Linked DNA regions of Drosophila melanogaster. The protein of the gene in region 1 interacts with the protein of each later gene in a pairwise test. Each region holds a gene or a part of one and is shown on either strand. Other genes may lie near its edges.

Evidence for each region. Proteins that work in one complex are often made in the same cells at the same time.
Region 2: the proteins of Nup43 (region 1) and trus interact in a two-hybrid assay, tested with the Drosophila melanogaster proteins (one large-scale study listed by BioGRID).

Annotation. Positions count from the first base shown.
Region 1 is NT_033777.3:18,363,296-18,370,483, forward strand, and holds Nup43 (nucleoporin 43kD), read left to right. Parts: upstream 1-3,342; 5' UTR 3,343-3,424; coding exon 3,425-3,707; intron 3,708-3,772; coding exon 3,773-4,566; 3' UTR 4,567-4,618; downstream 4,619-7,188. Other genes in the region: hmw (hemingway), read left to right, coding at 1-474, 529-688, 751-888; WRNexo (WRN exonuclease), read right to left, coding at 1,315-1,470, 1,527-1,770, 1,826-2,050, 2,113-2,318, 2,377-2,481, 2,616-2,684, 2,741-2,800; gl (glass), read right to left, coding at 5,507-5,651, 6,048-7,188.
Region 2 is NT_033777.3:12,452,741-12,460,115, forward strand, and holds trus (toys are us), read left to right. Parts: upstream 1-3,832; 5' UTR 3,833-3,883; coding exon 3,884-3,991; intron 3,992-4,058; coding exon 4,059-5,152; intron 5,153-5,211; coding exon 5,212-5,467; 3' UTR 5,468-5,704; downstream 5,705-7,375. Other genes in the region: CG18549 (uncharacterized protein), read left to right, coding at 1,904-2,073, 2,145-2,602, 2,670-3,265; CG5509 (uncharacterized protein), read left to right, coding at 1-215; CG5961 (uncharacterized protein), read right to left, coding at 5,759-6,398, 6,460-7,148.

The DNA of each region.
Region 1 (7,188 bases):
TGCCATGGCCACGGAGATGTTGCAGCAACGAAGTGACAGGCGCGGGGACACTGAATCCGAGATGTCATCGATGACGGAAACGACTATGACCAGTGCTAGGAGCTTGGGTGGAGGAATTCCCCCCCTGACAATGCGGATGGAGCGTTCTCAGGAGGCACTACTCACGACGCGATCTTCCAAGCTACCCAGACCCAAATGCAGATGTCCCTCGGAATCGGATTTAATTGAACACGAGCAGAAACTGGATATGGGTCACGAGTTGCCCCATGACCTGGCAGCGAACTTCGGCTTGGGCGAAGGCTACCTCGTAGACGAATGTGGCCAGGGCGACGGACTCATGAGGCATCCACAACAGCGCAAACCAATGGAGTTAAACAGGCGAGCCGTTAGCGGAACTCCAAGCACCTTCAACAGCGACGGTTGCGAGTATCAAATCAATGTGTCGCGTTCCCGCTGCTCTAATGATAAGATTAAGTAAGTAACTTATAATACTTATACACTCTATTACATATAATTACATCTGCATAGCTATAAAAACCTTGGGCGCAAAAGCTTTAGCTTTACGAATCCCCAAGTGCGCGAGATCGAGCGCCAGAATCAGATTCTTTTGCGCAAGATGATGACTGTGAAGCCCACGGCGACGATCAAGGCTAGCACCAGTAGCATAAAGATCAATGGGCCCGAGAAGGTGAGTACATAATATAGAACTTATGTCCAATATTAAACCTCTTCCTTAACAATGTCATACAGCGACAGACACCTCCAGCGCCACGACTGTCCAGCGCAGCTGTGAACCGGAAGAAGAATCAGCGCCAGATCGACCTGGACAACGATCTGCTCAAGCGGAAACTGGAGGCCATCGGCACACGGCGACCGCAATTCAAGTGACGCCTCCACAGGCAGCTCCAACTGTGTTCATTAAGTAATTAAAAGTGTTTATGCGAATTTACAAAATTAAAATTTATTGCAAGTTGAAAAGTGTAAAAAGCTGTATAATCTTAATATAATTTTAAGGGAATTTATAAACCAACTAGAATTCATGCAAAAATGTATAGTACTAGTAAAATTTCGTTCCGATCAAAGTCAATGCATCAAAATGTGTTTATAATTTGTACATTTAGGTATAAACAATTCTATAAATGTTATCGTAATCAATAATCGAATTGGATAGCAATATTAAATTTAACAATTATTTTGCAGCACGTTGGTAACAAATTAAACTAAGAAAAACTCCCGAAAATAAATGAAAGAAGGCGAAAATATTTAAACAGGTAAAAGGAATTAGATGGCATATCTGAAACTTCAAAGAAAAGCTTACAGAGTCACCTCGTTGATCTTGGTCAGAAATGTCTCTCCCAATGCTTTCATTGCTTTAAAGGCAGCATCTCCGTTCTTTTCCTTGAACTCTTCTTCATTTTTAATCTTGACCTTCTCGCGGCGTTCCAATTCACGATAGATAACCTGACCAATCTGAAAAGAAAACTAAGATTGAACGAAATTGTATGGAAAAGTGAATATCAACTTACATAGACATCGATGGCGGCGTACATTAGTTGATTCTCGTCCAGCGGAATGACATGCCACTTGCTCATGCGCACCTTCTTGCTTTTGTCCATGGCCTTCTTGGCTATAAAGTTGGTTAATCGCTCCAAGCTCCAGCGCCCGCCGGTCTCACAGACCTCATTGCACCAAAGACCCAAGTCCACGCATTTCTCTATCAGTGGTTCGGCTGTAACCTCGGGGAAATCACGTGCCAGCTTTCGGAAATCGCTGGAAAATAACAGATTTTATTTATCCAAATGGATTTTTCCTTTGTATAACTAACTTCTTTATGTTCACGCCATGCAATCGCACTTTGGGATGATTGATAAGGGCCACCAGGGCCGCAGGCAGTTTCTTCACATTAGTCAGCTGGTATATGTAGCAGCACTTTTCATCCACGCATATCTGGATGACGGCAGACTTGCCAGGTCCTGTTTGGAAAGAGAAGGGCCACTCCATGTCGAAGGCCATGGGCACTACCTCATCTTTTTGTTTTTCCACCCATTGCCTAAGTTTTGATTTTTAATGCACATTATTAACAAGCAGGAATAAGTTATAGAGTTAACTTACAAAACATCGTCAGCAGATGCCGCAATATCCTGGCTCTCCGTGAAATACTTTATAGCACCCTTGTATTTAATAAAGGGAAGCTTTTCGGGCTTTTCCTTCTCCGGTGATGGAGACCCATCCTCTGCCATTGAACGAGTGCTTCTGGTCAGCCTGGAACTCCGGCGCTTGGGCGGATTTTCTTCCTCCATCGCTAACTTCTCAGTCTTCTATAAAGTTGTTAATGCTTCGTCCCAATATAAACTTAATATATAAATTGTTGCTTACCACATCTGGAGTATCCAGATTTTTTCGCTTGGCAGCCGGTCTACCGGGTCTTCCTTTCGTTTGCTTTGGCGTATTATCATCTCCAGCATTTTCTTTATCTTTCAACTGCAAGATTTATTCGGTTGAAATAGTATACATAGTCATTATTGCTTCCGATTTACAGAAACCGATTCTTAGTTTTGAAAAAAGCAGTAGCAGTATTTTAAATAATAAATTCTAAATAATAAACAAATGCAAACCTCTTTTGGAGTATCCTTTTTTGTTGCTTTCCTTGCCACTTTGGGAGTCTCCTTTTTGACGCCCGCCTCCTACAAATACTTTTAAGTTAGTTTTTATCCCTGCACGAAATTGTGTATTAGCCTACTTCCTTGGGAACTTCATTTGCTTTTGATTTGATGGGCATTTTTGTTAAATATTTTTCCATAACCCGCGTTGCTTGTTCGTTTTCTTAAATGCTTTGTTTACTATTATTTCCCGCCAAAAATATGGAGGGGTAGGCGCACATAAACACCACAGTACGAAAAAATACTGTGACAATCGATAAGTGCCTTGATGAGTTATGAAGGAACGGTAGAATTTGGAACAAGGAAATGTTTTTTATTTATTTATATTATTGTTATTTCAAGGTGAATTCGATAAACTAAAAATGCAATTTTTTTAAGAAAAGAAAGATATAACTATCTATGTGCGAAATAAGTTTATAGGACTCAAGAAAGTATATATAATATGCTATTGAAAAATTGGCGCCCCACATTTTGGGGGACATCTCCACTCGCAGAGCCTGTGCAAGCTTGACCACCTTAAAGGATATTTCAGGAAAATTTCATAATAGAATTACCAATCGTTTTTGAGATAAGCTCATTAAGTACCATAATATAGATCCACATAACAATTTTTCTGCTTTTGTTTCCAGCCCTGCCCAATTTATAGATACCAGATTAAGTTTCCCGCTAAGATATGTTGCGATCTTCTTGCTCTGGTCACACTTAACTCGAAAGCCGCATTATTTTGTTTACATCGCGAATCCTCTGCTAAATCCAACGAAAAGATGTCCATTGCAAACGTTTCCACGCACTACATATCCGAGAAGGTGTCCCAAGTGCGCTGGCTTCCGGAGGAACTGCAGCAGAGCGAACGGTTCGTTACTGGAAGCTGGGACATGGACCAGAACTTCGTGCGCCTCTGGCGGCTACAATCGAACCAATATGTCACCGCCACGGATTCGGAAGTGGACCAGATACCTCGCTGCATGGACAAGGTGAGAATGGAGGACGATGTGACCGCCATGGAGTTCGTCGACAAGGACACGCTGGCTGTGAGCTGTGCCGATGGTCAGTTACAAGTTCCAGCAATCATGAACTCAGCTAAATAAATGTCTATTTTAATACCAAACAAGGTCATCTCAGCGTGTTTAACGTCCATCGAGCCGTGGAGGAGGATCAGATGCAACGTACGTCCCGATCGGGACGTCTGCACTGCTTCCAACGTAGCCAGGAGCCCGCTCCTTGCACCGACCTTTCTGTTTACGGCACGGATATCGCCACCGCCGGCGAGGATGGGTGTGTAAGCATCGTCTCCGTGGAAAATGTGCGCCAGGTGAAGCGACAGATTGAGGCGGACAGCATGGCGCTGTTTTCCATTTGCTATATCAGCCAGCAGGAACTGGTGACTGCCAATAGGATGGGTGTTATCCGAATGCTGGACGCCCGAGTGGCCACTGAAGCGCAGCCGAAGACCACCTTTATGGTGGCCTCCCAGGATGACAAGTCGAACTTTGTCTCGTCCCTTGCCAAGCATCCGATGCAGCAACATATTTTACTTTGCGGCAGCGAAGAGGGTTCCATAACCGTCTGGGATATGCGAAACCTCAGTTATCCCGCCTCCTATCTCAGCGCTCACAAAAGTCCCATCAACGAGATAGGCTTCCATCAAAAGGATCCCAGCAAACTGTTCACCGCCGCAGAAGGTGGCGAGGTGTGGATGTGGTCAGAGAACAAAGTTCTCGGGTGCGACTATAACAAAGACGGACACAGCCCCTGGTTGTCTGGCGATCGTGTTCGCTCCCTGGTCGATGTGGAGGGAGTGCTGAGTAATGTTCGCAAGTCCATCAACTCCTTCGATGTGCATGGAAGTCGTCTGGTCTGCGGAGGCGACACAGAAGCCGTTTACCTAGTTGATAATATTGTTTAAATGTCAAGCCTTTTGAATTCCTTACCTAAATTATATAATATTTCAATTGTTGAAATCAATTAGTTACTGTATTTAATTTTCGTATATTTATTATTTTCTTTATATACTCCAAAATTGGCTTAGATCAAAGCACCTGTCTTACATCTACGTCTAGTTTAAGCTTAGGACTCTATATTCGTATACAGGTGTTTATGGGTTTAATGCCTTGGCAATTCCAATTTAAATATTCTCGTTTTGGGTGCTGCTGTGTTGTTTGGTCTTATGATTCATACTCATATCCGTCTTAAATCCTATTTCGTTGGCTAATTTGGAATAGATTTATGCGTGTTTTGAACTACCTTATTTAATGGATGAACTAACTTGGATTCAATGCATATTAGGCTAAGCGAATATAATAAATATAGTATGTATAAGTATGTACAGTGCAGCTCTTAGGCCTACTTTTGTTCGATTCTCCGCGATTCCTCAGATTTGTATTGTTTGAGCATTTTTAACTGCATTTGGATGCGGATTTGGGTTATGAGTATTATTACATCGTTATGTTCAATTAGGATTTCAATTTAACACGAACCCAAATTATTTTTCTACAGCAATGTTGAGTATGGCATATACATTATTGTATTTATCAGCGATAGAGTGACTATCCCCGTATAATTCACTGAGTGGTCCTCCTTTAAGGTTTCTTATCCAGATGGGATCCTCCAGATTTTAGTCCCTAGTAGAATCGTTCGAACTTGGGCGCCTTGTTGAGTGCGCAGAAATAATACCCTGAATAGTTTTGTGTGGCTCCGGGTGGAGTATAATCGCCGATGCTGTAGTTCCCGTAGTCGTAGTTACCCATGTGGGCGTGGTGATGGTGATGGGCGTGGTGCTGGTGGTGCATGTGGTGGGTGTGCGGGGGGTGGTAATGCTGGAAACCTCCTGCACTCCTTGGCTTTTGTCATGTGAGCAGGCTGTTGCCACCACCAACTCCGCTGCCGGTGGAGGACTCTCCACCAACTCCGGTTGCCCCATTGCTGCCATTGCTGCTGTTGTTGTTGCCGTGGACGCGCATGTGCCGATTCAAGTTCCCCGACTGCGAAAATCTGTGGACACCAAAAAAGCAATTAACTCGATGTATAACGTTCCAGGACTGCTCTTTGGGGGCCTAAGCCTTTTTTAAGGGGTAATTTTCATCTTTAGCATTACATTTGAATAAACAATTATTATTTCATTTAATTTCAGTTCTTTAGTTGAAGTTGAAAATCTTACGAAAATGCATGAATGAAAATGAATGATGCATATTATCTTTGGTTTTCCTTTTTTTTAAGCTTGCAACAGTCTCAGTTTTGTTCAAGTTGTTAGTTTTATATTGAAACGATAGAAATTATTAAACTATCTTTAAAGCTTTAAGGGTTTACGTAAAAGTAAAAGCAAAACCATTTTCGTTCGTTTAGGAATGAGGAAGGACGGTGTAAGTAAATCCCCCATCCCGGACTCACCTGAGCAGGCAGAGCTTGCACTGGTAGGGCTTCTCGCCACTGTGGATTCGCAGGTGCTTGGTGAGGGTGCTGCTGTCCGAGAAGGACTTCTTGCACGAGGAGCAGCGGTACGGCCGCTCGCCGGAGTGGGTGCGCATGTGCGTGGTGACACTGGAACTCTGCGAGAATCTCCGGTCGCAGATGGGGCAGCGGAACGGCTTCTGGCCGGTGTGTGTGCGTACGTGAGCCGTCAGGTTGGCTGCCTGCGAGAAGCTCTTGTTGCAGTCGGGGCATCGATAGGGTCTTTCGCCGGAATGGGTCCGCAGATGGGTCTTGAGCGTGCTGGGCCGGGCATATGTCTTTCCGCACAACCGGCATAGATTGGGTTTCATCTCGCCGCCACTGCTGCCCTCATCGCCGTCCAGATCCTCGTTGCTATCCTCCTCGTCCTCGAAGGCGGATAGACTTAAGCCCAGGGCGGCTGCCTGATAGCTGGTGGGACTTTTGTGGGGCGGTGTGTATCCCTGATTGCCCACCCCCGTGGGATAGTAGCCAGCCAAAGAGGAGTTGGCCGGCGGCGATGGCGACTCCTTTTCGCCCACCGTCAGCGGTGGCAGGGCACCCAGACCCGTGGGAGCCGGTGCCCGAAAATCCGCTGTAAAGGAATATGTGGCCGAGGCAGGATAGTGACCGGGACTCAGCAGCGGTGGGTATAGCACATTTACCGCCGCTGCTGCTGCTGCCGCCGAGGTGGAGTTACTGGGTGGCGTCCAGTTCATCTGGGAGCACTGCATTGGCACGCCGCCTGCATCACCGGCACCGTAGCCATGGTGCATGGTCATGTTCATGCTGACGTTCACGCTCATGCTGGGATACATGGCTGCCGCCGGAGGAGGAGGTGGTGCGGCCGTTCCAGCACTGGTTTCATAGTAGCAACTGGCAGCGTTGGCCACTCCTCCGGCACTACCATTACTGCCGATATTGTTGCCACCACTGCTTTGGAGGAGAGAGTTGCCTACGTGCGATGCCTGGACTTGGGATTGCTGGTGCTGGTGCTGCTGGTGCTGCGAGTGCATCTGGCCATGATTGTGGGAGTTCGGCGAAATGAGCATCTGGTGCGGATGCACTGTGTAGGAGAGTGAGGCGGCCTGGTGCGGATTGC
Region 2 (7,375 bases), 5.9 Mb from region 1:
CTACGGGTTCAGTGGAATCGGGTAGCATGTCCTTCGAAATGAAACGGAAGCTATTTGACGCAGCCGAGTTCACCATCACCCGAGGTCAGAAACTGAGTGACCTCACGCATGCCGCTGATGAGGGGATTAACTTTAGTCCGTACGATACCGGCAACAAGACACTCGAAGAAATCGAGGAATACTGCCGCGCCGTCAACATTAAGTTTGCCAAATGAAAGGATAAACTCTTCCAGAGATTTTACACGATATATATACGATGGAATTCGGTGGATAAAAGATGAAACGGAGCAGGGATCACCTGTAAAGGAATCAGGTCTAGATTCAATATAATCAAAGCAAATCAAAGAAACTATTTTATAAAGCTAAGTTCACTATAGAACAAAGGCAAAAATGGACTGGATATATTTTATATTTCGCATACCTAAAGATTACAATAATAAAAAATATTCTCACATTAATATTGCAATTTTGTTTAAATATGTAATGAAATTAGGTACTAGGGCAAGCGTCAAGCAAACATCGATATACCCAGTGCAAGGAAATTTCAAACAAAACTCGTTTCACATTTTTAGAGTTTTTCTCGAGTCGTTGTGCCAGTTTTTTTTTTTTTGCCTAATAAATAGCAAAAAGCAATGTGACGATCGACTTAATAAGTTATTCAGCGCATTCTCCTGCAATTCCGCGTACGCATTGTACTTTCTTTATTGCACTTCGACTTTCTTTTGGGCCATGTTTGCTCAAAACTTGACCCAATTCTCGGTTTTATGTCCGTCGATTTGATAATGAGGAGATCATTAACAAATTTTCATTGATAAGGAATAGCTGCACTTGAAACTCGAGATTTCTTATCAACAACAACGATCGCTTATGCTACCCTACAACAGTGCGCCATAAACATTAGTTTTTTTTCATACATTAGAAATAACCAAATAGATTAACCACTTTCCATAGAAAGATTTACTAAACACTTCCTGAACTCCCAGGGTCACAAAACGTTTTCATTGGCAAATCAGTTCCGCTTCTCGACTGCAGACACTTAAGTTCTTGACTTTCACTTGCTCATTAATGGCTATATTTCAATGGGGCACTTCTAAAACATTATCAGCGGGTGCAACCTCTCGAGTTGAACTTCAAAATGGGCACGAGGACCGGACCAGATTTGCAGCGCCACTTAATTGATGCAAATAGAAATCAGAATCAGAGTTTTTCGCTCAGATAACGATATCACTCGACATTTGCCGAGATGCGTCCTTTGGAATGGAAAATTTTTAGACTCGAACGCAAACATGTTTTGCAAATGCAGCTTGGAATTTTCCATTGACATTCACAAGAATTGTAAAGTTAACCCTGAATCTGGTTGCAGATCCAAGTCGATTCATATTAATTTTTGTTCAATAGCTGCAGTTGTTTTTCCAACGCTCCAAAGAGTATGAGATATATGAATCATTATGTTTTCAATATAGGAAACAATTTCAATTTTAAACTTTCTTTGATCACTGAATTTCAGAAAGTCTAATAAGCATAAGATCTTAAAGATAGACTTCATAACTAAATTGGCTTGGGATGTATAATGAACCGAACATATACCTATAAATATAAATATGCTTGATATTTAATCCGAACAGATAACAATTCAGGCCCAACTTAGTTTTAAGTCAGTTCAATCTGCTTTGGTTGGGGTTTTATTTTAAGGAGATTGTGCCTTCATAACGTATCCGGACAGGAAATACCTGTATTATGCGTACTTGAGCCGAGAACACGTTTATCGTATAACATTTAAAGAGAAACATTAAACAAATGCGTCGGCCGTCGGTTCATTGGCATGCAATCGTCAAAAAATGTGTCTGGCACGTTACCAAAATGCTAATCGCTTCAACTTTCAATACGTTCTCTCAATCTGTAGAAAACCATACTGGATAGCATTTCCCAGGAAGATGATACCTTCAAGGGTGAGGGCTACACCAGCCTGGCCATTATCTACCTGTTCTTCTCGCTCTCCAATTGGCTGGCACCCTCGTTCATTTCGTTCACCGGACCACGAGTGGCCATGGTCGTGGGAGCACTGACCTATACGTGAGTATATACCCCCCCACCGGTCCGACTCATACATTTTGGTACCTAAAACATTTGAAACTCTTTTGCAGAGCCTTCATGATCACGTTCATGTTCCCGTCGACGGTATTGCTGTACGTGGGCAGCGCAGTGCTGGGATTGGGTGCCTCGATCACTTGGACGGGACAGGGAACGTATCTGGCGCGCTGCAGTGAATCTTCCACGATTTCCCGTAACTCTGGCGTCTTCTGGGCCCTGCTGCAGTGCAGCATGTTCATTGGGAATCTGTTCGTGTACTATCAGTTCCAGGACAAGACCCGCATCGACAAGGAGACACGGAATCTGGTCATCGGCGTGCTCACGGTAATTGCTGTGCTGGGCATCGTGTTTCTGGCCGCACTGAGATTCATGGCCGATAATGCCGAGCACGACAACGAGCTGGAACAGAAGCACACGGGCTGTGGACAGGCCATATACGCATTGAAGTCCGCAGGACAATTGTTCCTCACCAAAAAGATGCTGCTCCTTAGTCTGGCCTTCTTTTACACAGGTGGGTTGGATTGTGGTCAAAACTGAATAGAATCAGAGATACTAAGTGCTTAAACATAACTTTCTAGGCCTGGAGCTGTCATTCTTTAGCGGAGTTTTTGGATCAGCGATTGGATTCACCACGAAAATAGCCGAAACACCGAAGGAGATCGTTGGACTGGTGGGCATTTGCATTGGAGCCGGCGAGGTCTTTGGAGGAGGACTATTCGGCATACTGGGCAACAAGACGACGAGATATGGACGCGATCCCATCGTGATTGCCGGCTATGTGATGCACATGGCAGCCTTCTTCATGACGTTCATCAACCTGCCGAACAGTGCACCGTTTAAAGATACCACCGATATATCCTATCTGGACCCGCCCCGAGCCAGCATCGCCTTGGTGTGTGCCTTCCTTTTGGGCCTGGGCGATGCCTGTTTCAACACTCAGATCTACTCCATGCTTGGCGGGGAGTATGTGAACAATGCCGTGGGAGCCTTTGCCCTGTTCAAGTTCACCCAGTCGGTGGCGGCGGCCATTAGCTTCTTCTACTCCTCGCACTTCGGGCTGTACGTGCAGCTGGGCATCCTGGTGGTTATGGGAACCATTGGCACCATTGCCTTCGTCTTCGTAGAGTGGGGCTTCAAGCGGCAGCACCGCGAGCAGGAGGCGTTGGAGAAGTAATTCCGTTGTGGGACTCAGAGGATCTAGAGTATTAGATGCAGGTTCTTGTTAGAACTCTAGGGCTAGGGCCATTTGTCCGTGTTTGTTAAATTCCTCGGAATGCTTTAAATCCGTGCGACTGCGTCGTCTTCCTAGACAATAACTGATAAGTGTTGTTGCGCGCTATTGTTGCTAAATATACGTATTTTAATGTTGGCATTCCAAAAAACGTAATTGTAATCTAGTTGTCTATGTTTTTATATGTGTGTATTGTATATGTGCGTTTATTTATTTTAAGCGGCGATTGTGCAAATATAAGATAGTAAACCACAAATTTGGAGTATTATAAGAAATATATAACGAATTTTAAGAAAATAATAGTTGTTATGGATCTTACTTGTGTGCTACTCATTAATAATAGAATTTTGTGCTTTTATTTCATTTTTCAACTATTTGATATATTTTTGAACTGCCTAGATTTCATACTTTGAAATTCGCACACTCGATTACGATGAGTCGATATCTTTTAAAATCGATAGTACCATGTGCAACTATCGGTTGTCTGCCCATGAGCACTCATTTCGCCCATTCCTAAAAGAAATCATTCAATTTTGAAAGACTTGAATGAAACCATGAAAAATGGCCAAGAATAAGTCGACTGTGTACCTAGGATACGAGGATGAGGAGGTTACGGCCAAGCAGGAGCAGCTCCTGAACAGTTGCACAAACAAAATCGGTGGCACACCCGTAAGATAGGCGATTGCATCGACTTCAATAGAGGCAGCGGATAATTGAAATTGATTTTTACCCACAGGATTGGCCCAGACACGAGGTGACCATTCCGTCATGCCCGCTGTGCGGTGCAGTGCGTCCACTGATCGTGCAGATGTACGCCCCGCTGGATCGCTCCCAATTCCATCGCAGCCTTTACGTTTTTGGATGCATGAACCCAGTTTGCTCTCAGAATTCAAAGAGCTGGTGTTGTGTGCGCACTCAGCACCTGGACCACCAGTACGAGGTGATCAGTGAGCATTCGCCGAAGGCAACGCCAACTAAGAAGCAGAACTCCAAAAAAAAGGGGAAGTCGAGCGGATTGCAGGCTATCAGCTGGTGTAGTGGAGCGGACGACTGGGGCGACAGCAGTGGTGGAGCAACCGAACAGGCCAAGACCATCTCCGTGGCATTGGACGAGGCTATGGACATCACCGCGGACGACGACCAGAACGAACGGAATGGCAATGTGCGACCGAATGCCCTGCAGTACGCCAAGTCAGACATCCAAATAGATGAACCAGCCAAACTTGAGCAGGTAAAGATTGCCGCCGATGATGACGACGACGAGGACGAGAGCACTTCGCTGGAGAACGAATTGATCTCTGGCTTTCATCAAATGGACATGATCTCGCCGCAAAACGCCGACGATGATCCAAATGCTAATTGTGCAGCGGCCGCCGCTCCCAGTTTGGATGGAGCTGGAGCCAGTGCCGCCTCAGCGGCCATTGGTGCTGAGATCGAGGGTCCCGAAACGGATCTGGTGCTGGTCGACACGCCCAAGAAGCCGGAACGCGACCTGATTGCCTTGTTGAAGCACACCTCGGGTGCGCTGTCGCAGATCAAGGACCTAACGCTAAAGTCTTACTATATTGCCGTCGATGTAGAGAACAAGACCCAGGCGGAGGAGTACGAAAACTTCGGAGGCGCTTTGTCCATGGACCACATTCGTGATTTGTATCAGGAGTACAAGCTGAGAGACCAGAATCCGGGTCAGTCACCGACCGGCGGTGCATCTGGACCAGGAGAGCAGGGCGATGAGAACGAGTCCTACGAGAAGGCATTGCCAGCCCATGGCGATTTGGTGTTTCACAACTTTATCACTACCATCCATCAGAATCCGGGCCAGCTGTTGAGGTAAACATTGTACTTCTATCCTCATTAACTTTCCTCTTACCCAAGTTGTTCTGCTTCAGATATTCGCGGGATACGATCCCGCTGTTGGTGGCCCCGTTCACGGAACCTCTGCCCAAGTGCCAGAATTGCAGGGGAGAGACCATCTGCGAGGTGCAGCTGCTGCCCACACTGATTCCCAAGCTGCGGTTCCAGGTGAACGGTTGCAATGCACCAATCGAGTTTGGCAACGTGCTGGTCTTCACCTGCCTCAAGAGCTGCTGGGACACACCCGACCTGATGCGCTACGAACATATTGTGGTTCAGTCTGAAACTTAAGGTGCCGTACACGGCCATTTCCCAAAGCCATTAGAGTCATTCGCTGTAGCCGCTACGATTGCAGACTGGTGCAACGAATTTTAAACGCAAACTGCAGAGATAAAGCTAAGCTTCTCGATTGTCCTAGGAAGATTTTATGCTCTAGTTGTTAAGAACGTTGTAAGCTTTTAGACACTCCAAAAATGGATAGTTGCTAATAATATCTCGTTATTTCCACTCCCCCTCTAAAAGGGTTTCAAAACATATTGTTTTATTTCCAACTTGCAGAAATCCATTCTAATTCTAATTAACCTAAGCCAATGGTGCATCAGCATCAAGATGGTAGCTCTTTACGGTTGAGAACCTCAGCGCCGGATATTTGGCCTCGGTCAAATCGAACTCGGAGCTGATGTCCACCTTGTTGCGCTTCTGCACGAGCGTGTAATGTGACCAAACCAACTGGGCGCATCGGCGCTTGGTGGTGCCTGCGATGCGCAGCTCGATCAGGAACTGTGAGGAGTCCTCATCCACTGGCATGATACTCCCTCGCCTCTGCCGCACGTTAGCCGGCCCTCGCTGCTGCGACTTTTGCAGCACCAGAGTGACTGTGCTCCCGAAGAGACGATAGCGACCCCGAAGCATTTCCGCCCGTACGTTGTTCACGTGCTTCAGTTTGGATACACCTTGCGCCGGCTCATCGGCAGTCGTCATCATCAGCACCTTGCCATCGGGCAGAAAGCGAATGTAGCGATAGTACTCCACCAGTTGCACAGGACGGTAGAACTGATCCTGGAAGCTGTTCTCGCCCATTCTCAGGTACGTAGTCTTGCTGATGTAGCAGCCGTTGAAAAGAACTCGGTCTCGGCGGATGAACATGTCTCGCCAGGAGTGGAACACGTTGCTTACATCCGAATCCTGGGCCTCTAGAGTTCCAACGTTGTGGCCCCATACTCTATACAGAAAATTACGATAGGTTCATTGAATCTTAGGCGTTATTTGAAAGAGTAACTTACTTGACACAAGCTAGCCTCCAGAGCTCCTCATCCCGCGCGTAGACATAGAAACCTTTGCAAACAGCAGCGCACTGCTCTAGCGAGCGCATGTCCAGTTGGGCGGAAACCACCCAGCGCAGGATGCGCATCACAATCTCGGGCGGCAGGTCGGCAAAGTGCAGACCGGTGGTCAGGACATTGGCATCACGGCTGGATGCTATCATCTTGCCATTGTAAATGTTTTTCTGACGCAAATCATGCTGGAACTTTTCGTACAGGTTGTCCACGACCTCCTCCCCATCCGACTGACCTAGATCCAATTGCTTGGCCAAATCGTTAGCCAGATTGAGGTACTTCTTGCTGACATCGTTGCTGAGCTTTTGCTTCTGCTGCTCGTAGAACCTGAACTCAATATCCGGAACGATTTGGGTGGCCTTCCTGTAGAAGGGTAGTGCGTCGTAGACCTTGCCACGCTGCTCCAGCTGCACAGCGGTCCGATAGAGACTCTCCGCCTTGGCCTGCAGTAGATCAGCCTCGCTGAGATTGGAATTGGCCGCCGTGAGGCGATCTCCAGCCTCGGAATGGCTCCTGGATCCAGTGTTTGTTGTGTGTTCCTGCAGCTCCCGCTGCCAGTTCTCCCGGAACTCATCCAGTGCATTGGTGCCCGTTTTCCGGGTTGGCTCCTCGCCATCCGAGTCCACATCCGACATGATTAGAGCTAGAAACTAGTCTGCGAATGCCAATCAGATCGTAGATTATAAACATCTGCGCATTTATCTAACGCAATTTCTAACCTGAAAGATTTTAGTATTCGATGTGGAAAGGTACGGAAGTTGGTAACAAAATAGAACTTATAATAAAGGGCCGCGCGTATTGCTGATTTTGGGCGCGGGCTTCACCCCAGAATTTCGTAGTTGTATGCAACTGGGAGCAACAT